2 linked regions of the Coturnix japonica genome follow. The protein of the gene in region 1 interacts with the protein of each later gene in a biochemical or structural test. Links are inferred from orthologs where the notes say so. Each region holds a gene or a part of one and is shown on either strand. Other genes may lie near its edges.

Region 1 (4,284 bases):
TTGGTAGCAAAGTCACCATCTTAAAAGTCTGCTACAAAAAGGATCGTGTACAAAAACAAACTGCTGGGATGTGTGTTTGAATGCATGACAGCTCTAATGCCGGGTGTTCCTTTAAAAGCCAGACTTTGCCCTTTCACACCTACATTGTGCCACGCACTTGGAACGCAGCTCAGCAAAGCAGTGTCCTGATGCCAGGCTGTCAGCAGCTTCAATTCTGAGGTGCAGCATGTGGCTGACCTGGGAGCACAGACACAATGCACTAAGTGCAGCATCCACACCAGAAGAAAAACACCTTCCTGGAATTTCCTTGCAGCCCTGATATCACCTTGAATGAAAAGAAGAGCGTTTATTACGTACAGAGTCCATCTTGGAAGCAGCAGCCACAAGTCAGTCGATAAGCTGGCACAGAGCACCAACCCATTTAGCAGTCTATTAAAAGAAAGTTTGGGTTCAGACTTAACAGTAAGTAAGACTTCTGTGCATTAGCGAGCTTATCCAGCTAAGCAGTTTGAGGTACATTAGCTGCTGGAGCTCTCATCCAGGAAGAAGCCAGGAGAGGTGCTGCAGCTCTCCCAGGACCAAGGGCAAACCAACTGTAACGGTTTGTGCATTCCAGCAGTCACTGTGATCTTGGACAAATGACAGCAGTAGAAGCAGGAGGCGGATTAGTCAGGCTGCTCTGGCAAACAAGCTATTTAAGAAACTAGTCTTTTCAAGCTAGCACTAGCTGTTATCAAACCGACAGGCTTAAGGCTTACCTCGAATGTCATCACGCAGCAGCTAATCTGAGCACCTAAGCTTTGCTTATAGCGCTGCATTAGCCACTGTCCAGGAGGCCACGGGCCACACCTGGTTTTAAAGAAGAGTAGCCGCAATCCTGGGGAACACAGGCCGTGTAATTTAATTAAGACACATAATGTGAGCTAAAGAGCTCCCGAGATAAGCCCATCGGTGTCAGAGGAAGCGTTCCAATTTTAAACCCAATCCCACAAATCCCCACAAGCAGTGGGCAGGAAGAGAAGCACGTTGAACACTAAGCAGGCTCCCCTCCTACAGCCTCTGCGTGCCGTGCTGCACGCCATCAGCTTATAGAGGATGAGAGAAACCCTGACACAGGGAAACACGACAGGCCTCGTTATTAAAGCACCACACAGCCCTCCAGCTTAGAGCATATTCACAGCCTTCAGCTGTACAAGCTCAGGAAACTGATGCAAGACACTGTGCTGCACTAGATTAGCTTCATCTCACCTCTGCACCAAGAGGCCAAGAAAAGTTTAACCAGGGTCACGTGAAGCAAACAAAAAGACACACACAAACCCTGAGATAGCCCAGAAAGAATCCTCTATCTCTGCTTCAAAAAGCTGCAGATATGACCCTTTGTACCCTCAAGACTCAGCTCTTCAAAGACCAGGAATGTGCTGTCTCGAGAGAAGGGGAGAAGCCGGCCATAATATCCTATGGAGACATCACATCATATGGAAGAAAATACAGCCCAAAGGACGCCGGGTATCTCTGTCACTAGATGTCAGTAACATGGCTCTGCCCGCAGAAGATGAACGATGCCCCCGCTCTGACAAGGAAAATATGGCAGCAGGCAGCTGGGATGCATCTCATCAGGCTGGAGGTTGTCCCTGCAAGCAACTCACTGGGACAAGTCTAATTTTTACTATAAGGCAAAAAAAAGCAGTAACTGCAGCGCTGCATTCACATTAATGGTGCCCAACAACTTATGTACCCGCATAAGCCTAAATGTGGATACAAATCCAACACAACCAGAGCTCTGAGCTACTGAAGCCACTCAGATGTGCTTATCTGGGAACGTTCCAGGCTCAGATTCCGAAAGCCTTAGGCTAAAAACTCAGGGCAGCTTTGTCATCCTGAAGTGAGGAGAAAACAGAGATCACACAGCTGACGGGGAGTCATTTCCCGGTGGGGCCAGCGATCAGCTGCACAGGGCGACAAACAAGGCAGCTTTTCCTGCAGCTCTGCAGGATCCAAAGCCCAGCCCGAGGAAGGAAGGAAGAGGAACCGCATCCATAGGCGCTGCTGGATAGAGGCCCTCTTTACGCTTCAGCACAGCATCACCAGAGGCGCTCTGCGCCCAGCAGCTTTTCCATAGAGGAAGCTGGAGGTGACAAGCCACGGCCGAGCGAAGCCCCGTCCCATCGGCTGAATGATTCCCGGGGAAGTTCCCGCTGATCCGATTAAAGGACCTTTGTTCGGGCTGACCCGGCACGTAGCCGGGGCCGTTCCCCAGGCTCCGTGTGCCGCACCGAGCCCACCCGACCCCCCAGGGCCGCCGCTCCGACCCCACCGCTCCAAGAAACGCCCGAGCCCGGCGGGTTTAGAGCCGGTCGCATCCCATCCATCCATCCATCCATCCATCCCATCCATCCCATCCATCCCATCCATCCCCCGGGGCCGAGCACAGTCCTGCCGCGCAGCCCCGCCGCCCCGTGAACTGCGGCCGAGCCCCGAGCGCTGAGGGGAGGCGGCCCGGCGCTGTCACAGCCGCACCGAGGAGGCCCGCGGACCCCCGGCCCCGAGCGTTGAGGGAACGGCCGCTGCCCGCCGAACCCCGGCCGGTCACCCAGCCCAACACAGATAGAGCCCCACAGCCCCACAGGGAGCCAAACCAGGCCGCTCGGCCCCATGGCAGCACGCCGCCTCACCTGCCGCCGCCCGCCGCCGCTCGCCGCCCAGCGCCCAAGATGGCGGCTGCCGCCCCCCCGTCCCTCAGCGCCCCCCCTAGCACTGCAGAGCCGCCGCCGCGCATGCGCTGCCCGCGCCCCGCTGGCACTGCGCATGCGTCAAGCGTGGAGGCGGGAAGGACTGATCCGCGCGGTGCATGCTGGGAGATGTAGTCCTGAGGCGCGGACGCGCTGGGAGTTGTAGTTCGTGGGGGACGGCACAGAGCAGCTAGGCCTCAATATGGGGCTGTAAGGGGAGGCCGCCCTCACCCTGCACGGCCCCGCTGGTCCCCACTGCACAGTATGGGCATTTATGGGCATATATGAGGCTGACACCATGCATGGGCACACACATTGTATATCCCAATGGAGAACAGCCAGCACCCCTACACAGCGGGATGTGGCAGGGAGTGGGAAGCAGAATGGTCCAAAACAAAACGCGAGGCAGGAGTCCAATAAAACTATGTTTATAAATAAAAACAAGGAGAATGGTTCTGTTTTTGTAAAATCCAGTGAGTAGGGCAGGGTGAGGAGAGGCAGTGAGAGGGACCAGGGGTTACAGGGGGCAGTTGGGCAGTGCCACCACACTGAGCCCCATGTGCATGGAAAGAGGTGTGAGCAAGCGGGGAGGGCACATGGGGCAGGCTGGAGGGTATAATACAGAGCTCAGGAGTGAAACACATTTTATCTCCAGAGTGTAAGAGAACCACAAACAGAAAGAGTGAAGGAGACAACAGGAGGGCGCTAAGGGAGCATGGACCCACATCTCCTCCCCACGGCCCAGCAGGAGTGGAGAGGAGCAGCTCTGAGCGGCCGTGAGAGGAGGAAAAAGGATGAGGAGGGCTGGAGCAAGTGACCCACAGCTCTGTGTGAGCCCAGAGGAGCTGCAAGCACTGCCCACAAAGCTCACGTCCCTCCCAAGCATCGCACACAGGGAATGGAGCAGGGTAAGGTCAGTGCTGCCCCTCTCTGCACACAAACACTGTGTTCCCCCATAGTGTGCCTTCCCTCACTCACTGGCTGCATTCTCAGCTCTCAAAAAGGTCCCACTGCTGTGTGGTGTTGCAATGGCAGAGCCACAGCTGCCCCAAGGACTGCCCTTGCAAGTGACGGGGGCAAAGAGCAGGGCAGAGGCCCTCTCTAGGCTTCTTTGGGCCAAGTGAGCACTCACCCCATAGCCCTGAATTCTACAAGTCCCATAGGAAGTAAGGCAGGGGGCATGGCCCCAGTGCCAAGGACAGGGCAGGGGGAAGGAGTGCTCTTCCCTAAGGCCGGGGCAAGAAGGGGAGGCAAAGGGCACCATCTCCCCATTCCCCACAGGCAGTGAAGCCCTGGAACATTCAGACATTGGCTGAAAGGCAACTACAAAGGGATTTAAAATTCATGTAAGGCTGGGCCCGGCTCCCCTCTCAGGGCGTCTTCCGCTAGGGGGAGAAAAGCAGCCATCTTCAGCGCCATGCGCGCACAGCGCCCTTGGAGCTCCGTGTCCTCCTGTCGGGCCACGCCACGCTCCAGCTCTCCCCCCTGTGGGCAGCAGGCTCAGAGAAAGTCAAACACCCCGTAATTCTTTGCTGCTTGATAGAAGAAACACAAA
Region 2 (4,946 bases), on another chromosome or scaffold:
CACTGGGACTAATTCTGGCTCTTTAAGGAAGGGCAGCTGGGTTTCCTGTGCCCTGTGAAGTGGGAAAGGGACTAAAGAGAGCTGGGATCCTTCAGTTTTGTCTCAGTGGTGGGGGTTTTGTCTCCAAGTCTGTGCAGGCAGTGATTCTCTTTCTCTTTTGTCTCTGCAGCCTCACAGCCTGATTGCCAATGTGATAGCAGGCTCCTCAGTGCTGGGATTCCACATGGGCCGTGATGGACAGGCCTCTCGTCATCTCTCCGAAGTGGCTTCAGCCCTGCGTTCCTTCTCCCCACTCCAGTCTGCCCAGCAGCCCTCTGGTGGCTTTCAGACAACAGGAAGGGATGGAGAGGGAACCCAGCCTCGTGGTTCCAGTGCCATGACAGCCTCTGGGTAAGAGCATGCGGTGGCCTTCACTGCCTGACCCTAGAGCAGAGAGAGGCTTGGTGGTATCTGCAGCCACATAAACATCACTCTTGTTTCCCATGGCAGTGCTGATGCGAGGACTGTGAGCTCGGGGAGCAGTGCCTGGGAGGGTCAGCTGCAGAGCATGATCCTGTCAGAGTATGCCTCCACTGAGATGAGTCTCCACGCACTCTACATGCATGAGGTGAGTTGAGCTAACCAGAGGGGATGTGGGCCCAGGGCAGGCAGGACTGGAGTGCCCTGCTTTGGGTGGCTTGGATTGGCTGGAAGAGCCTTGCTGGGGAGAGGGTGCATTGGGGCATCTGTAGCTGACCCACCTGTATCTTGGCTGTGCAGTTGCACAAGCAGCATGCCCAGATGGAGCCCGAGCGGCACACCTGGCACCGGCGAGAGAGTGACGAGAGTGGTGAGAGCACCCATGAGGAGCTGGATGCTCAGCGAGGTGCCCCCGTCCCCCTCCCTCGCTCTGCCAGTTACCCCTTCTCATCTCGGCAGCCTGCTGAGGAGACAGCCACGTTGCAGACGGGCTTCCAGCGACGGTATGGCGGCATCACAGGTATGGGAGCCGGAGCAGAGGTCTGAACCTTCTGGTCACAGTCCCGTAACCCTTGTCCTGTAATACTGGCACAAGCAACATGCTTGTCTCTGAAGACTGACAGCCCCCCAGGTAGCTGATCCTCCTTGCCTTTCCTACAGACCCAGGCACAGTGCACAGAGCCCCATCACACTTCTCCCGCCTCCCACTGGGAGGCTGGGCTGAGGATGGGCAGTCAGCGAGACACCCAGAGCCTGTGCCAGAGGAGAGCTCAGAGGATGAGCTTCCACCGCAGATCCACAAGGTAAGGGAGGAGGCTGTGGCAGACAGGGGCAGCAGGTGCTCTGGATGTCAGGCTGCAGACCAGCTGCCAGCAGCCCTTAAATGCTGAAGTCCTGTCTCTGTCTTGCAGGTATAGCCTTGCAGACCGGGGATCTCGTGGGGGTTGCAGACTGGAAGCCACCTGGGCAGCAGGATGTGGTGTCAGCCCAATTCCTCTCCTATCCCGAGGGGATAGGATGGTCATGGGCTCCATTTTGTTGCCATCGATTGCTGATGAGACAAAACTGCCAGGCCAGCAGCTTTGCGGTGGCGCCTTGTGTCCAGCCGTGTGTCAAGCCAACGTCACTCTGACTCTTGTGGGGTGAATGCGTGTGTGAGTACATACATGTGTCTGTGTTCACATCTGTGTCGTCCGTGTCGGAGGATCACTGCAGAGCCGCTGACAGAGCTGTGGATGGGCTTGGAGGTGGCAATGGCAGCTGCTGTTTGAAGGGATGTGACAAGGCAGCAGCTCCAGATGTCCGCCCGGAGCTGGGACCTGCCTTCGAAATGAAAGCAGGGATGGCTGGCAGCAGTGGGAGCTGTCGGAGCTGCCTTGCTCAGTCTGTAGCAGTGCTGGAACCACACCTGCAGCCCTGGGGAAGTGCCCTGCGCCATGTTCCACCTCGTGGAGAGGATCAATGTTGCACACCTCAGTCTGGAACGGGACAGCGGTGGGGCCCACCCCTCTCTGTGCACATGTGTGCTGCCCTGACACCCTGCAGCAGGATGATCCTCAGCTGCTGCTGTGTGTGTAGGGTTGGGAATAGCTCTGCTGCAGCTCCATCCCCAGCTCTCGTGACACCTGCCCTGTCCCAGGCATACAGGAGAGGGGTCCGTGGAGTGGCAGTCCTGGGTCTCTGTCCCTCCCCACTGGCAGCCCCCTGTGCCAGCCCTCTGTCCTGGGCTAGAATAGCACTTCCTGACCTGCATGGTGCTCGGTTGATGGGCTGCTCCCAGGCCCTCTCGCAGTGCCAAAGAGCTGGTGCAGCCTGATGTCCCCTGGGAGTGCACGTAGCCTGCTCGCAGCCCACAGTGAAGGTCTTGTGCTCTGTGCGCTGATTCCCTTCCCCCAGGCATCATAAAGGCCTTTTTCCTATGCCCGGTCTGTGATGCGTCAGGCCTGTTCTGTGATATCAGCCCTTTCCTCCTGCCCTAACAATGGCTTCAGTGTGTCCTGCCTCTCACCCAGGGGCTCCTGGCTCCTTTCCTTCCTTCCTGAAATCTTTTTGCGAGGATTGCTGTGGAGACCATAAGCTGAGCAGCTGCCTCATGTCATGTCATGGAGGGGGCAGGGAAGAAGGGGTACCTTGAACCCTGAAGTGAGAGGCAAACCACAGCCCAACCTTGATGTGATGGAAGGGTGTGAATCAGGATCTTGGCTTTACAGCACGGCCTTGGCCAGCCCTTCGCTCGGATCGTGCTGTTTTCCCTCATCTCTTGCAGTGGCTGCTTGCGAGGACCTACATCTCAGCTGCCCTTGCCCGGCTTTATTCCACCTCCCTGGCTCTTGTTGCCTGCAGGAGAGACTCCTTGCTTTTTCTATGCCCTGCCCTTCCCCTTCCTGGAGCACAGGTGACCTTTCTCTCCCTGCCAGGCTATTGCCCCGTGCCCTTTGTGCCTGGTGCAGCAGCAGGGACAGGAGGGAGGGGATGGCAAGCAGGGCTGGCTCTGCACCTCACATCCGTGGGCTGCCCTGCTGGTTGTAACTGCAGCCGTTCTAACACCCTTTATTTCCCTGCCTCCATGGGAACCGTAAGCGATGGTGATGTCCTTTGTGCTGCCTGGGCTCCCTCTAGGCACAGTGGGCAGTGCTTGGAGCCTGCAATACACAGTGAGGGGGTTTCAGAGGCTGTGCTCTGGAGGGAAGGAGAGCCCTTTTGCTGGGCTAATGGGAAGGACAGGCAGGGCAGGAGTCCTCGCTGCATGTTGTGCTTGTGTCGTCGGTGTCCCCTGTGCATGGCGAGCCGCAATTCTACATCTCCTTCCTGGGTCGGTGGGCCCGGGGCGCCCAGGGGGGGTGGTGCTGCAGCCCCGCGCCCTCACTGTACAGCTGTCTTGCCATCCAATAAAGATGGGCTGTGTCATCTGTCTGCCTATGAGTGTCACAGCGGCGTGGGGGGGCAGCGATGGTGCCGGGCACCCCGGTGCCCGCGGAGCGTGATTGTAAGGCGGTGAGGAGCCAAACCGGCCGGATTTAGGGCTCAATTTACTGGGACCACGCGGGGGGGGGGGCAGAGCCGCCGTGCCGCAGCAGCGAGGGGGCCTCGAAGGGACTCGGATCCGTGCGGTGAAGGAGCAGCAGCTGAGCGCCCGTCGGGCCGGCGGCCAGAGGGAGCTATAAATACCGGCAGCGCTCCGTCCTGCCCGACCTCTAACAGCGCGCCGGGCTATCGCCGTGCCGCACAACCGGGCTGCTCGTCGCGATAAGCAGCGCCGGCTCCGGTCCCCCACGGCGACACCCCACCTGGGAGCGCTTCGGGGGCGGGGTGGGACGCGATCCGTGGAGCCGGGGGACGGGGGGAAGGAAGGAAGGCCGTGCTGCGGGGCGGGGAGCGGGGCGGGGAGCGGAGCGGGGCGGTGCTACGGCCTGCGGGAGGCACGGGGAGCGGAGCGGAGCGGGGCAGGTGAGCGGGACAGGGGCTCGGGGGGCGGCGGGACGGCGGGCATGGGAACGGGAACGGGAACGGGAACGGGAACGGCGGAGCGGTCGGAGCCGCGATGCGCTCGGGAAGCGGCCCCTGCGCGGCTCCCACGGCGCCGGTGCCGGCCCGGCGTGTCCCTGCGCGTTGCCGGCGTTACTCGGTGTATTTCCTCGTGCGTTGTCCCGTGCTTTATCCTGCGTTTTCTCCACGCGTTGCCCCTTGTTTTTCCCCACGCAGTGCTCTGCCGTTCCCCACGTGTCACCCCTGCGTTCCCCGCCGCGTTCCCCACCCGCAGAGCGCTCGGGAGCATCCCCCTGCCCGGAGCGGTGCCTCTGTATCCCTGCAACGGTGGCAGCGCTGAGCGCTCACTGACCCGACGTCCAAGTGCACGGGGTGACTCTCCCCCCAACCTTTCTCCCCCTTCAAGCCACCAAGTGCAGTGCCAGGCCACAGAGCTGACCCCAACCGCTGCTCATGCTCTGCTGCACACAGAGTGTGTCCCACATGGGTTCACCCCCACCACTGCCCCCTGCCTGGCCGTGCCATCCTGCCCTACAGTTGCAGCCTTGCAGCACCCTGAGACCCCATCTTCTTCTCTCTAGCCACAGACCGGCCAGGATGGCGTTGCTGGAGGGATACTGCGAGCCCAACAGCTCCATGGCACAGGCCTGGGTGCAGCAGGGCTTCCAGCCCTGTTTCTTCTTCACGCTGGTGCCGGCCGTGCTGTTGAGTGTCTGCCTGCTGCTGGGTGCCCTGCAGTACGCCTGCTACGTCCGCTTTGGCCGTGCCATGGAGCCCAAGTACATCCCTCGCTCGCATCTTTACCGTGCCCAGGTCCTGCTGTCCTTGCTGCTGGCTCTGCTGCCCCTCGGTGGGCTGCTCTGGCAGCTGGGGGGCCCAGGGAGGCTCTATGGGTACATGGTGCTGTATACCTGCCTCTGGGCTGCTGCCTGGGGCTGCGCCGTCGCCCTCCTGCAGCTGGAGCACACGCGGGTGCTGGCAAATGACCGCACACGAGGCCA

The links. The genes of interacting proteins can lie anywhere in the genome.
Region 2: the proteins of AP2M1 (region 1) and ATG9A interact in a biophysical measurement, tested with the Homo sapiens proteins (4 studies listed by BioGRID and IntAct, with this or other methods). The link is inferred for Coturnix japonica from reciprocal best matches to the Homo sapiens genes AP2M1 and ATG9A.

What each region holds. Positions count from the first base shown.
Region 1 is NC_029524.1:13,826,203-13,830,486, reverse strand, and holds the start of AP2M1 (AP-2 complex subunit mu), read right to left. Parts: upstream 2,801-4,284; 5' UTR 2,673-2,800; intron 1-2,672. Other genes in the region: DVL3 (segment polarity protein dishevelled homolog DVL-3), read right to left, coding at 4,230-4,261.
Region 2 is NC_029522.1:24,495,641-24,500,586, reverse strand, and holds the end of ATG9A (autophagy-related protein 9A), read left to right. Parts: intron 1-169; coding exon 170-390; intron 391-489; coding exon 490-607; intron 608-759; coding exon 760-979; intron 980-1,119; coding exon 1,120-1,262; intron 1,263-1,370; coding exon 1,371-1,376; 3' UTR 1,377-3,368; downstream 3,369-4,946. Other genes in the region: ABCB6 (ATP-binding cassette sub-family B member 6, mitochondrial), read left to right, coding at 4,543-4,946. UniProt on the Homo sapiens protein: Phospholipid scramblase involved in autophagy by mediating autophagosomal membrane expansion. Cycles between the preautophagosomal structure/phagophore assembly site (PAS) and the cytoplasmic vesicle pool and supplies membrane for the growing autophagosome.